2 linked regions of the Tribolium castaneum genome follow. The protein of the gene in region 1 purifies or fractionates together with the protein of each later gene. This does not show direct contact. Links are inferred from orthologs where the notes say so. Each region holds a gene or a part of one and is shown in the gene's direction. Other genes may lie near its edges.

Evidence for each region. The genes of interacting proteins can lie anywhere in the genome.
Region 2: the proteins of mitochondrial carrier homolog 2 (region 1) and asrij purify together in Homo sapiens (affinity purification with mass spectrometry; 3 studies listed by BioGRID and IntAct, with this or other methods). This does not show direct contact. The link is inferred for Tribolium castaneum from reciprocal best matches to the Homo sapiens genes MTCH2 and OCIAD1.

Annotation. Positions count from the first base shown.
Region 1 is NC_087394.1:748,550-756,593, reverse strand, and holds mitochondrial carrier homolog 2, read left to right. Parts: upstream 1-3,072; 5' UTR 3,073-3,293; coding exon 3,294-3,398; intron 3,399-3,450; coding exon 3,451-3,535; intron 3,536-3,584; coding exon 3,585-3,879; intron 3,880-3,939; coding exon 3,940-4,126; intron 4,127-4,371; coding exon 4,372-4,638; 3' UTR 4,639-4,749; downstream 4,750-8,044. Other genes in the region: proton-coupled amino acid transporter-like protein pathetic, read left to right, coding at 1-501, 550-728, 1,412-1,820; eIF3i (eukaryotic translation initiation factor 3 subunit I), read left to right, coding at 6,112-6,114, 6,231-6,424, 6,803-7,586. UniProt on the Homo sapiens protein: Protein insertase that mediates insertion of transmembrane proteins into the mitochondrial outer membrane. Catalyzes insertion of proteins with alpha-helical transmembrane regions, such as signal-anchored, tail-anchored and multi-pass membrane proteins.
Region 2 is NC_087394.1:12,529,245-12,534,440, forward strand, and holds asrij (OCIA domain-containing protein 1), read left to right. Parts: upstream 1-3,490; 5' UTR 3,491-3,583; coding exon 3,584-3,649; intron 3,650-3,702; coding exon 3,703-3,823; intron 3,824-3,868; coding exon 3,869-4,049; intron 4,050-4,099; coding exon 4,100-4,260; intron 4,261-4,362; coding exon 4,363-4,574; 3' UTR 4,575-4,634; downstream 4,635-5,196. Other genes in the region: Vps4 (vacuolar protein sorting-associated protein 4), read right to left, coding at 2,420-2,651, 2,701-2,836, 2,887-3,022. UniProt on the Homo sapiens protein: Maintains stem cell potency. Increases STAT3 phosphorylation and controls ERK phosphorylation. May act as a scaffold, increasing STAT3 recruitment onto endosomes. Involved in integrin-mediated cancer cell adhesion and colony formation in ovarian cancer.

The DNA of each region.
Region 1 (8,044 bases):
ACACACACTGCCTATGCTCTAGTCACCTCGGCTCACGCCTTGTACCGCAAAGCGGGCAAAACGTCGATGAGCTATGCGGAAGTTGCCGAAGAATCCTGTCTTCGGGGACCCCCCTGGGCGAAAAAATACGCCTTCTTGCTCAAACAATTGGTCTTATGGGCGATTTTCGTAACTTATTACGCCACAGGAAGTTGCTATGCTGTTATAGTTGCCGAGAATTTCAATTACGTGGCCTTCAACTATTTAGGGAATTTTGATAAAAGAATCACTATAGCTATGTTGTTTTTGCCCTTTTTGCTCATTGCCTACGTGCCAAATTTGAAGTATTTGGCACCAGTATCCATGGTTGCCAATTTTTGTATGGCTATAGGATTAGGGATCACGTGTTATTATCTCCTGAATGACATTCCGTCCATTTCTGACAGACCGGCAGTGACAAATCTGGCAACGTTGCCTGTTTGCATCAGTATAGTGATTTTTGCAATTGAAGCTATCGGAGTTGTGAGTTATTTTTCGAAATTTTTGGCACTTTTTTATTAATAATTCTAGGTAATGCCACTTGAAAACAACATGAAATCGCCACAAAAATTCGTCGGACTTTTTGGAGTACTTAATCAAGGGATGACTTATGTGACCATCCTGTATATAATTTTAGGTTTCTTAGGGTATCTCAAATATGGTGATCTTACGGCTGATTCAATCACGTTGAATCTTCCACGAGAGGAATAGTAAGTATATCGTATACAGGGTGAGTCAAGTGGGTGTGGTGGTATAACTTATGAGTCACCCTGTATATGTAACGAAAAAAATGGTCGAGCGTTTCGAACTCGAATTCGGTTTTTGTTTATCATTAATCGTTTATTGAGCATATTAGCAATTTTTTGATAAATTTTCAAGGCCACAAATCAACAATTTATTTTTTTATTTATCTTTCTGATGCAGAATTAATCGACGATTTCGAATATGTAATCGATTTTTAATTATCTTTGTTGGTTTCTAAATTTTGGCTGAAATTTGTTCGTCTCTAGTTAAGTGCTAGAATATAATTTTTCAAGGTCACATAAATCAACATATTGAACACAGAATAAGGAAAATTCTCCAAGGATTTAGAATATGTTATCAGTTTTTATTTTCCGTTTCTGGTTTTCGTTTTTATATCGAATATTTCGATATATTTTCGAAGAATTGGCATTTACCTATTAAAAACTAATCTTTGAGATACAACCGTAATTTTTGACTTTTGAGCACTGTCTACCACTGGAATTATAATGTTGAAGGCCACAAAAATCAACAAACTGAAGAGAAAAAGTATTTTTGGTACAAAATTATCAAAAGATTTCAAATATGTAACCAGTTTTTTTAACAAATTGTTAATACTTTTTGAAAAAGTGCTAAAAAAAATTTATTTCAGTGCTGCCCAAGCTGTGAATCTCCTTATCGGCCTTGCAGTATTCTTCACTTACGGTCTAGTGTTTTACGTGTGTTTGGACATTTTCTGGACCGAAATCAAGCACCGTTTCACCACCAAAACAGCACTTGCTAATTACGCCCTAAGAACTATTCTTGTGATGATAAATATCATAATTGCGATTCTAGTGCCTGCCATTGTACCGTTTGTCGGTTTAATCGGAGCGTTTTGTTTCTCGATTTTGGGACTTGTATGTCCTGTGATTATCGAAATATTTACGTTTTGGGATCAGGGATTTGGGAAGTTTTATTGGAAATTGTTTAAACATTTGGTCGTTGTTTGTATGGCGTTGCTTGCTGTTGTTTTTGGGTCGAAAGCGGCCATCTCTGATATTGCAAAAACATTTCACTGAAGCTTTGAATGCTAATATAAAGCTCTAATATTTCGAATCTTCGAGAAAAAAAAGGTTATAACGTAAAACTTGACTATTTATTTGTGTTCTTTGTTTGTAATAAAATTAAAATTACTTCTTCTTGAATTGCATTTATTTCATCTTCCCCTTTTTCCCTGTTTATTAAGAAAACAGTAACTCAAGCGATCATTTAAAAATGTTTTCTACTTGGTTTCACAAAGTTTTGGGACAGCAAAATGTCATAGTTATTTCATCTAATTTACACAATAATCTTTTGTTTTCGACTTATAAACAAAAGTTGATGTTTTAGCGAAATCTTAAACAATTCATATCATCCTTATTATAAAAGATATACATTTGAAACAAAAACATTATAGAGGCACTTTTTTACGTAGAATTTAGTAATGTTATCAGAGATTTTTTTTAACAGTTCGTTTAAGTTCAATAATGTAAAGTTGTATATTTTTAAATAGGAATCTTAGTTGGCTATGACATTTTCGAAAAGCTTTTTTTTTGAACTGAAAACAATATAAATACAGCTTGATATTTTTATATTGATAAAAAATATATTTAAAATATTTTAAAGTAGTTGGCCTCGGAAAAATTATTTAAGTGAAGTGAAGTGAAGCAAAAACTCCAAATAAAAAATACTCTTTCTACTTACAGTTATAAAAAATGTTCAGAAAGTCCATCTGCACTTCCGTAACACAGAATCATATCGGTCATTTCAGGATTTGTTTGATTTTTCATGATAATGATCCACTAACACACGAATCAAAGCCGAACTAACAACACACTAATCTGCACATAAGTACGGCGTACCGGCGATAACAGTTTTTGTGCCTTTTTTGCGTGGCGTACTCATCTTTAAATTAAAAAAAATAAAAAAATAAAAATAAGTGTTTTTTTAATATACTCGTACTGTATAACTTGGTCTTGAAATAAGTTATTAAATTAAAAAAAAAATCACATCTTAACCATACAGAATTGAGCTTCACCATCCCTTACACAAACAAGGTAAGAAGTGAATTTGTATTTAAATAAGACAAAAAAAACATTAAACAAATTTTAGGGTGTTAAATAAACAGCGGGAACATTCAAAGCCAAAAACAAATAAGGTAAGACGTTGTATTAAATAATCATTACATTCCAATCAAACATTGTATTTTTAACAGTCTTGTATAACTGGTTGCCTAACACGCACAAAAAATACAATTTTTAAATTTCCCTCGTATTATGTAAGACACCGGCCGGTATTATTTCAACCGTGAACATTTGCAATTACATTTATTTAAAAAAACACAAAAATAATCCTCCCAAAACCCGCCTTTTCTTCATTTTTTATCAGTTTATCACGCACAAAAAGATAAGCGATCCCAGTTGGCACAATTGACAGTTGTGCCCACTTTTGACAGAAATCAAATCGTGTCCAAGTCTCACCAATTTCCCAAAATTTCCAAAAACAAACCCACGATGAAAGTCGTCAAAGACAACGAAAACAAATGGTCAGGATACGGACTTCGCATTTTCCTCAACACCTTATCGCACCCATTCGAATACGCCAAAGTGCTCATACAGGTTAGGAAATTGTGGTGAAAATCGAGCGAAAATTCTGATTGTCTCATTGCAGATCGGATACGAACCCATACCGCCTCACTCGTCCAAAACCCTGCTCGGTAAACCAGCCCTCAAACTGCCAAACATCTTCCAATACGGTAAACCCCCCGAATTTTTAACCGAAAATAAACAGCCCCCTTATTACAGTCAAACACATCAAGTCGGTCGATGGTTTGTCGGGTTGTTATCGCGGCTTGGGCCCCAAAGTATGCGGCAGTTTGATAAATCTTGTCGCTACACAAAAAATGATGGAATATTTGGACTTGAACCAGCAGGACGAAGAAGAGGATACAGATGTTGAGGAAAATCGAAAACAGAAATTTTTGAAGTGTCTCAAGGGCGATATCATTACACATACAACAGCCATAATCATCAGTCAGCCGTTTCACGTCATCACTATACGAATTATGGCACAATTTGTTGGAAAAGAAGCCAAATATGTGTAAGTTTAGTTTACTGTATTCGATTTTAGGGGAGATTATTATTTTTGGGGGGTTTACAGGGGTGTGTTTGGTTCCATTGGTGAAATATACAGACAGAATGGAATTTTGGGTTTTTTCAGCGGACTCATACCCAGACTGATTGGGGATATTTTGTCCGTTTTGTTGGCAAGCAGTCTGACTTATGTTGTCAATAAGTATCTAATAGAAGAGAAGGAAATACAAAATTATACTTCAGCCGCTGTGTGTGTAAGTGAATTTAAAAAAAAACACAGTTGGTGAGCCCGACTGTCATTCAATGAAATATTGTCCCAGCGATTTGAAAAAGTCCTATATTATTGAAAAGTATTTTTTATAAAAGTAACTCATATCTGGAAAAAGTCTGTACACTTGAAAATAATTTCAAAGGTCAACAATGCACTTTTTCAAAACACAGAGATTATGGCCGCACTGTTGCCAATATTTTGACTAAAAAATAACTAAACCATTTATAGTATTTGTTGTTCAAGAATCACATTTCGCAGATGGTGTCCTCATCAATAATGTACCCCTTCCAAGTGGTGTCAAATTGCATGGCTGTCTCGAATTCGGGTTTGTTGGCTGGATCGCCCCCTTATATGTTGCACTACAACACTTGGATTGATTGTTGGAATGATTTGTCGAGTCGTAATCAATTGAAAAGAGGGTCTAGTCTTTTGGTTCGTTATTACAAGGGTCCTTCGTTGATAACAAGTAAAGGCAATCTACTCAAGGGCAACTAAATTTCATGTTATTCAGTAGTTGGATTTTTTTTCATTACAAATTGACGCAATTGTATGTAAATATTTAGAGTATTGTGTTATTTTACAATAAAATTCTTGTTCAGATTTTAATTGGAGTTTTTTTTATTAAGCAAGCAAAAACTTTGGCTTTAACTTTTAAAATGTGCGACTTGATATAAAGGTAAGTTAAAGTTGGATTAAATCTTTAGTTTCTTTGTTTTTTATTACACCCTGTACATATTTCGAAAAAAAGTGTTTATCCCCATTTTGTTTCTTTAGTTTACAGTTGCTGAAATCAGTAGGACGCGTTCTTGCAAAAATTAACAAAGTCGCTACACGGGTAGGAGATTGAAAAAATAAAGTTTGAAAAGTCAAGGAGTTTTCAAAAAAGAAAAAAAGAAAAAAAATTCAATAAGATTACAAGGAATATTTGTCCCCACTTCATTTTTTTACAAGCCAAGGCCCTACTGGAGCGCTTTATTACTAGCAAAAATATTTATTATTTACACGGTAAAAGCGTTGCGAAAATTAAGTTCTAAAATTCAAAATAATTTTGAAAATAAAAAGAAAAAATCTGTTAGGTTTTAAAGAGTGTTTACCTCCACTTGATTGTTTTACAGTCGAACACTATCCAAGAGCTTTATTTCCTGCAATAATAAACAAAATTGCAGTACGGAAAGCCGGTTGAAAAAAATGAAGTTTAAAAAGTAAAACATTTGCAAAAAAACAAAAGAAAAACATTCAGTAAGCAGAATGTTTGTCATCAATTAATTTTTTTACAGTCGAAAGTCTCATGGCTAGGCTATATATTCCTTGCAGAATTGAACAAAATCAATAAATGGGAAGGGGGTTAAAAAATAATGTTTGAAAAATTAAAATATTTTCCAAAAAAAAAAGAAAAAAAAATAGGTAAGGCCCCAGGGAATATTTATCCACACTTAATTTTTTTTACAATCAAATTCCCATCATCAGGCTTTGCTTCCTACAAAAATTAAAACACGAAAAGGGAGTTGAAAAAATAAAGTTTAAAAAGTTGAGATAAAAAAAAGATTGTAAGGTCCCAAGGTCTTAAATTAATGGCTCTACTTAATTTTTTTACTGCCAAAAGCCCTTTATTTCATACAAAAATAAACAAAATCGCTACAATGAAATATTATTTTAAAAGATTAAGTTTGTAAAGATAATAATTAAAAAAAAAAATCAGTAAAGGCCCAAAGAGTTTTTAATCAATAATCACAGTTAATTTTATTACATATTTTTCCCAACTGCTAAAAATTGCCAAAATGGCAATAACGCCATTTATCAGTTAATTTTGACAATACGGTTATTTCACCTGAGCCGGCACTGACTTAACCCCGCCACTGCACAACCCACCATGACAGTTAATTTTGACACCTCTTCTGTCAAACAACCGTCAAAAAAAGCGTGTTTAATCATTAAAATCCTTAAAAAAACGCCCAGTTTTTTAACAAAATGGTAAGTAACGACTCACAATCAATCGAAAAAAACGCCCCACAACCGTAAAACATTACATTACCCCACAATTTCACCCACATATTGTTCGCTTAAATTTAACCTCAAAACCCCCACAGAAACCCCTTCTACTCCACGGCCACGAACGTGCCATCACCCAAATCAAGTACAACCGTGAGGGCGACCTCCTCTTCTCCTCCTCAAAGGACAACAAACCCAACGTTTGGTACTCCCTTAATGGCGAGAGGTTGGGAACCTTCAACGGCCACCAGGGGGCTGTCTGGTGCATCGACGTCGACTGGACCACCACTAGGTTAATAATAATAATAAATTTATTGCTGCAATAAAGCAAATGGGTGCGCGATAAGGTTGCCTCAGTAGCGAATATACAGGGTGCCTCACCTAATACTTTTGAGCCTGATATCTCAGTTATTTGTCAACGTATTTTTATGAAAATTAAAATGCAGATATTTAGGAAAGTAAAGATTAAAATCCAATTAATGCAAAAACTGAAGTCTTAAAATCGTAATTTTAAAATTAAAATTAATAAAACAGATATTAATCTCGAAAGTTTTAGGTGAGACACCCTGTACAAGTTTTGATTAATTTGCTTTTACTGATTTAATCAAATACTACTTAGACCAGAAATATCACCTATTTTGCTACTTTTTAAACTATTTAAACTTTATAGGTTCCTGTCAGGTGCCGGTGACAACACCCTTAAAGTATGGGACTGTGAAACGGGCAAAGAAATCGGGAACATCTCAACCAATTCATCAGTCCGAACGTGTCTGTTTAGCTACTCGGGCAACATGGCAGTGTACACCACCGACAAAGCCCTCAAACACAACTGCGAGATCTTCATTATTGACGTCCGTAACGTGGACGAAAGCATCTCGCACGCCGACCCCATTTTACGCATCCCGATTAAAGGTTCCCGTGTTTCGTCAATCCTATGGGATAACCTGGACGAAACTATAATAACCGGGCACGAAAACGGGGATTTGATCAAGTGGGACTTGAAGTCAGGCAAAGAGATCAGTTCAACACGTGAACACGAACATTTAATCAACGATATGCAGTGGAATAAAGACGGGACAATGTTTGTGACAGCGTCCAAAGACCACACAGCTAAACTGTTCGACGCTGCTGATTTGATGTTACTGAAGACTTACAAGACAGAACGGCCGGTTAATTCAGCTGCCATTAGCCCCATTTTTGAGCATGTGGTTGTGGGCGGAGGGCAAGATGCCATGGATGTGACAACCACGTCGGCAAGGGTTGGGAAATTTGACTCGAGGTTTTTCCATATGGTGTTTGAAGAAGAGTTTGGGAGGGTTAAAGGGCATTTTGGGCCGATTAATAGTGTGGCGTTTCATCCAGATGGCAAGAGTTATAGTTCAGGAGGTGAAGATGGTTATGTGAGAGTGCATAATTTCGATTCGTCATATTTTGAGTATAATTTCGATTATTAAATGGATAGCTGGTATTAATAAATTTTTTAATAAAACAGTTTGGTTGTTTTTGTTCCTAGATTACGTCCAAGTCTAAGTTTTCGGAGCAATGATTTTAAATAATGATTATACAGGTGCTCCATAACTTTTTTTCTATGCAAGCTATCAAGTTGAATTTTTTTGAAACGCTAGGTTTACTATTGTAAGACTTATTAGGCACGTTCTAAAAATATTTTAATCTGTATACAGAGTATTCCAAAATAAAATACCTAACTATGTTCTGTTTTTTTTTAACAAAAACCCGGATTTTATGGATTTATCTGTCATAGCTTTTTGACTTTTTGACAGAAAATACACAAATAAAGCCCTTGTTAATGTGTTTTTCGTTCGTTTGAAACTGAAATTTAATTACGAAAATAATTTTGGTAAATTTTATTCCGGCGCTTCCAACTTGTGAAATGTAACTAAAACATTCGAAA
Region 2 (5,196 bases), about 12 Mb from region 1:
TAGTTTTTTAGTCACAGTTTTTGACGTATGTCAATTTATGTGTGAAGATAGCGTCGTGCATAGACCCACAGAAAAATTTACAATTTCAGACCCATTTAAGATAAGTAAATTAACTTTTTTCCATTCGATTCACTAAGCTTTAGCGCATTTTTTTTGCAAAAAAGCGAACTTGGAATCGATATTTCATCGCCTACTATGATTTTCTGCAAATGACAAACTACAAATGGCAATAACTCGATCGATTTATTTTAATGCAACACCCTATATTTTATTGCACCATTGCATGGCATTTTTTCTACTACAAATTTGTCTAATTTGTAAAATTTTATTGATGGATATTTATAGTTTTGGAGACAAAAAGAATCGAGTAGGCCGTCGTAAAATTTAACACTCCCATACAATTCTGAAAAGAGTATTTTTTAACAAATTGTGAAGTGTAATAGAAATTCTAATGGAAATAGAAGTACAATCGCAAAGGAAACAATTTAAGAATAGTTAAAATTATAGCTGTATTTTTTAGCAGTAAACTGAGTGGTTGAGCAGAATTTTTTTTGGTTTTAGAAAGAACCTTGTTGATATCATGACGGTACTGGATCAAAAAATTAAATAATTCACATTATTGAACAACAGCCGCTTTAGTTTTTTAAAACAATTTGTTTCCTTTATAAATTGTATAAACTTTTGTAGACACCGGACATTATTTTTACGATAAAAAAAATTGACGATTTTCGTGTAGCGATGAATTTTTTCCATTTGTTATTCCCTCCACAATGACTAAAAATTCAGTTCTAAACAGTGTAAACAAATAGCAGTGCCATATGTGGTCATTTGAATTTATAATTTGTATGGTAGACCTGGCGAACTCTAAGAACGTCCACGATAGGCGGAGCCAATGCGTACTTCATCGAGTGAGGAGTTTGAGCAGTGGCGTAGCAAAAAACTATTCTATGATCAAGAAGGGTTTGGGATTTATAATTTTTATTATTTACTATTTCCTGTTTTCAATAATAGCAAGATAAGATAATAAAAATCATATCTAATGCTAATACAGGTTGATTTCATAGAAATACAAAGCAAGGAAGTGCAATAAATAAAAAATACGCAATGAGTAACGAGTAAAAACGCGTTTATTACAAAAAAGGTTTTATCCTTAGATCTGTCGTTTTGCGGACTCTATTAGGGTCTATATGTATAAGACGAGAATTTGCCAAATATTACCACATCTACATATTACATTACCACAGCTTTGCAAAAATTGTTTAAAATAGCAACCTTCCTGGTTTTTCTCAGTATCATCTGGAGTAAATATTTAGTAATTATTAGATATTGAAAATCATGTACTTCTTCTCCAGTTTTGATTGAGTCTTTTATTCCAAGAAGTCTAACACTTTCTAGCCTACCAATATTATCAAAAAACTTATTGAAATCACGTGATAGTGGTTAAAGTATAGTAAATTTTTGTTATAAACTTCGTATTTTTTAAATGTAAAAACCGTAAGTTCTTTAACCAATTATTGGTTGCATCGTTGCATCTAAGAAAATTTCAGATATAACCGATAAATGTAATTGACTCACTCTGTATGAGTACGCCACTGGTGGAAAAGTCCATAGTCGTTATTATCTTTATTTTCTTCAAGCGTTTTGCTTTAAAGTATATCCCAGCATTCAATAATAACCAGAAAAAATTTTACAAATCCCTCGCTTTAGAGGAAATGATTTTTTTGGGGCCTAATCTATTAAAAATGTAAAGAAATAAGTCTCGCAGAATTTGTGCAGAAAATTTTATTATCTACAACTCTCTTTGTTACATTTTTCTGGACCGTCTCCGCTACGTTTTGGAAAATATGAGGCGCTGCGCAAAATTTAAATTTTTAATATGTATTTTCTTCATATTTCTTGCAAAACTTTTAGTCGTTCACTTTTTCCCACCCTATTAAGAATGAAACGCTCAGGATCCATTTTTTTCAAGCAATTAGTGAACTAGTTTAATTTAACTTCAAAAGCTCCCTCTTTTTGACTTCGCCGCTCTAATGTTTGGGTACACAGAACATGAAATAATTGAGGGAGAATTTATAGGAATAAAAACAACGATAGTTATGCAACGTTACGTCTATTAACAACACACATCAGGCTAAAGAAAAAATTAGAAAACATATTTAGCCTGCTGATTGTAAATAAACGAAATGTTGCATAATATCCGGTGTTTTTAATTTTTACAAGTTCAGCTCTCCACCACTTATTTTTCAACCTTACGTTATTGTATCTGAGGACGCTATTTTCCCCACAAGATTAGTAAGTAAAAAATAACGCTGTAAGTTTTAACGTAGATTATTAGATTTCAGCGGGTTCTGTACAACTGTATAACTTTTACTGAATTTTGCTACGGCTGGAGGCCTGGAGAAAACGTGTCAACACTTACACCAAACAGGAGAATTCCCTTCCAAGGGACTCGTTTCCCGCTGAAAAGATGGGGGAACCGAATGGGGAGAATGACCGCCTCCTTTAGGGCTTCTTTGGCGGCATCGAGCCCCGCAACGTCCGACCATTTCACGTGGGGCTTTTCCACAACAATAGCCCCTTCAAGCTTGTTTTGCAGTTTTTTCTTCTCAGGGTCATCGCCATCACTATCACTGTCACTTTTTTTGTCATCCCTGGAGAACAATTTTGGGTTTAGTGCACACGATAAGATAAAAAACATACTTGGAATCGGATTCTCCATCTTTGATAGGTTTCTTCTTGCCCTTCTTGAGGGATTCTTTAATTTTTTCGGCCCTTTCCAGGTATTGACAGCATTTGGCTCGGATGCTTTCTTTCGCCTTTTCGCCTTGTGCCTCATCTGGAAGTTAAATTAAACGGGTTTTTACCAACTTTGTTACAACAACTCACATTTGATGGCATGAAGGAAATACTCTACTCCGTGTTCGTATAACCTAAGTGCTTCCTCATAATTCTTATTGCGATCTTCCTCGGTGGCTTTTGTCACTAATTCTATGGCTTTTTGTAACGTTGTTCCAGTTGCCATTTCTCAGTATTTTAGTTTTAATTTACCTGTGATGATTCAGGTTACAAGGACTATCGTCAAACGTGAATTCAATTAGTTTGTCTTGATAAAACAACACAATGTGTATCAAAATTTCATAGTGGGAACTAAACACTCAAATTAATTAACTTGATCATCCACAAAGCATATAATTAACAGACATTACGTTCGCTCAAGGAATTATTTTTGATGGTGACTTTTGACAAGTGACACAGACCCACATACGCAGCGCCACCTTGCGTATGTCGGGGAATGAACATTACAGTCGACCAGACAATCTCTGCGCGCATGAAACTTGCGTCAATGACAAATCGAGACTAAATCTTGTGATTAACACATTAATTATTTCAAAAACTAAATCGGGAATAACTTATACGACCCCAGACAGTTGTTGTCCATTTCCTGCATCTGTCTTAACATTTTTTCATTTTTTACAATTTGAATTTAATTCAATTTTTGACCGCCAGGGGCCAAGTCAAGGCCAAATGTCAAAAATGATTTAACCTAACCTAGAAATTATCAAATTGGGTTTTAAAATCTAAAATGCAGCCAAATCGAGGGGATGAACCTGAGGGCCAGCACTTATCTGATCCAAGGCACCGCCAATACGTAATTTAGAGTAGTCTACAACCGAATTTAACAAACTTTAGTATTTTTTTTAGTACAAATTTAGCCCAGAAGAGGTGCGAGTTATAAAAGAATGTAACCGGGAGAGTTTTTACCAGAGGTGCTTGCCTCTCGGTGCTATTTTAGGCGTCTCCACTTATTACGGAGTTAAAGCAGGTGGGTTTAAATTGACAAGAACATGCTAAAAAGTGACATTTGTAGGTTACCTTCGGGGTAATCCCCGGTTTGGGGCTTTCCCCAAAGTCACGGTTTCAGTGATTGTGGGATACTTCCTCGGGAAATTTTCGTATCAGACGAAATGTGCGGAAAAACTAATGCAATTGCCAAATAGTCAAATTGGTGAAATGTTGAGGAGAAGGAGACAAGGCACTTTCCAGGAGAGGTTTCTTATTTGGAATTTGTTTAAATTCTTAGTAAAGTTTAGGGTTTTAGTTTAGAACCCGGTTTTGGGCCTGGAATGTCTTTAGGGCCGTTCAGTGGTATCTCGTCATCAGATACCTACACTGACTTAGGGCCTGGTAATAGTGTTGATATTGATACTAGCAGACCACAGTTTGATGGATTAGATGATGCGCAAAGACCCTCAATTGATAGTAAGTTGCGTTGTTTTTTCTCTTAATTAATTTGTAATGATCAGTGATTTTGAAATTAAGTTGGTCACACTGGGTCACTTTGCTAAAATATAGTTGTTGTAGATCCAATTTATGAAGAAGAAATGCCTCCAGTTCAGAAACAAGTGACTACTTACGATGAGTTGAGAAAAAAGAACAGAGAGGAATACCAACAGAAACGAACTTTAAGTTACAGGGAACCTGCAAAGAGTGCCCCTCCACCATCGCCTGGTCCTACGACACCGTCAGATGTTTCAGAAGGAATCAAAAATAAATATGGGGATGTGTGGGGGTAACATAAGTATTAAACTGTAATAAATGAGTAAAAGTCTGCTTAATAAAATGGATGTAGAGTATGTGTAGTTTTTTACGACTAAGGTTTCAAGTAAAAAATCAAAATCAAAAATAGAACCAAAGGGATTAGTTAAATTTACAATTATAGAAGATGCTCCAAAAACCGGTGCACCAAATCAATGGTGTGTGGTAGAGAATTACTTACATAAAAGATAAAAATAGTAAAAAAATCTTGGTATTAAACTTATTGATAAATAACGAATTTTAAATAAATGATTTGTGGCAACGTCTAACAGTCGTGACGGCAATATGAGTAGAATTTGAGCAACAATAAAAATAAGTTATTTTTAAATTAAATTAATTATTTAAAGTACATAGCCTTTATACGAGTCTATTAGGCCTTTGTTAAGGCTTTTAAAAAGAAAACTACGATTATTTATTCTGTTTTTGGTTTATACGAGTTATTATATAAAAGGCTTTTTTATCAAGTTTACCAACACCTAAGTTTAGCCCTTTTTGGAAATACGAGTATGTATGTATTTCAAAAAATGGATTTATACTCTTTTCGATTTGAATCTTTATTATTTTAGAAAATATAACGTAGATCTTTTTTTGAGTAGTTTG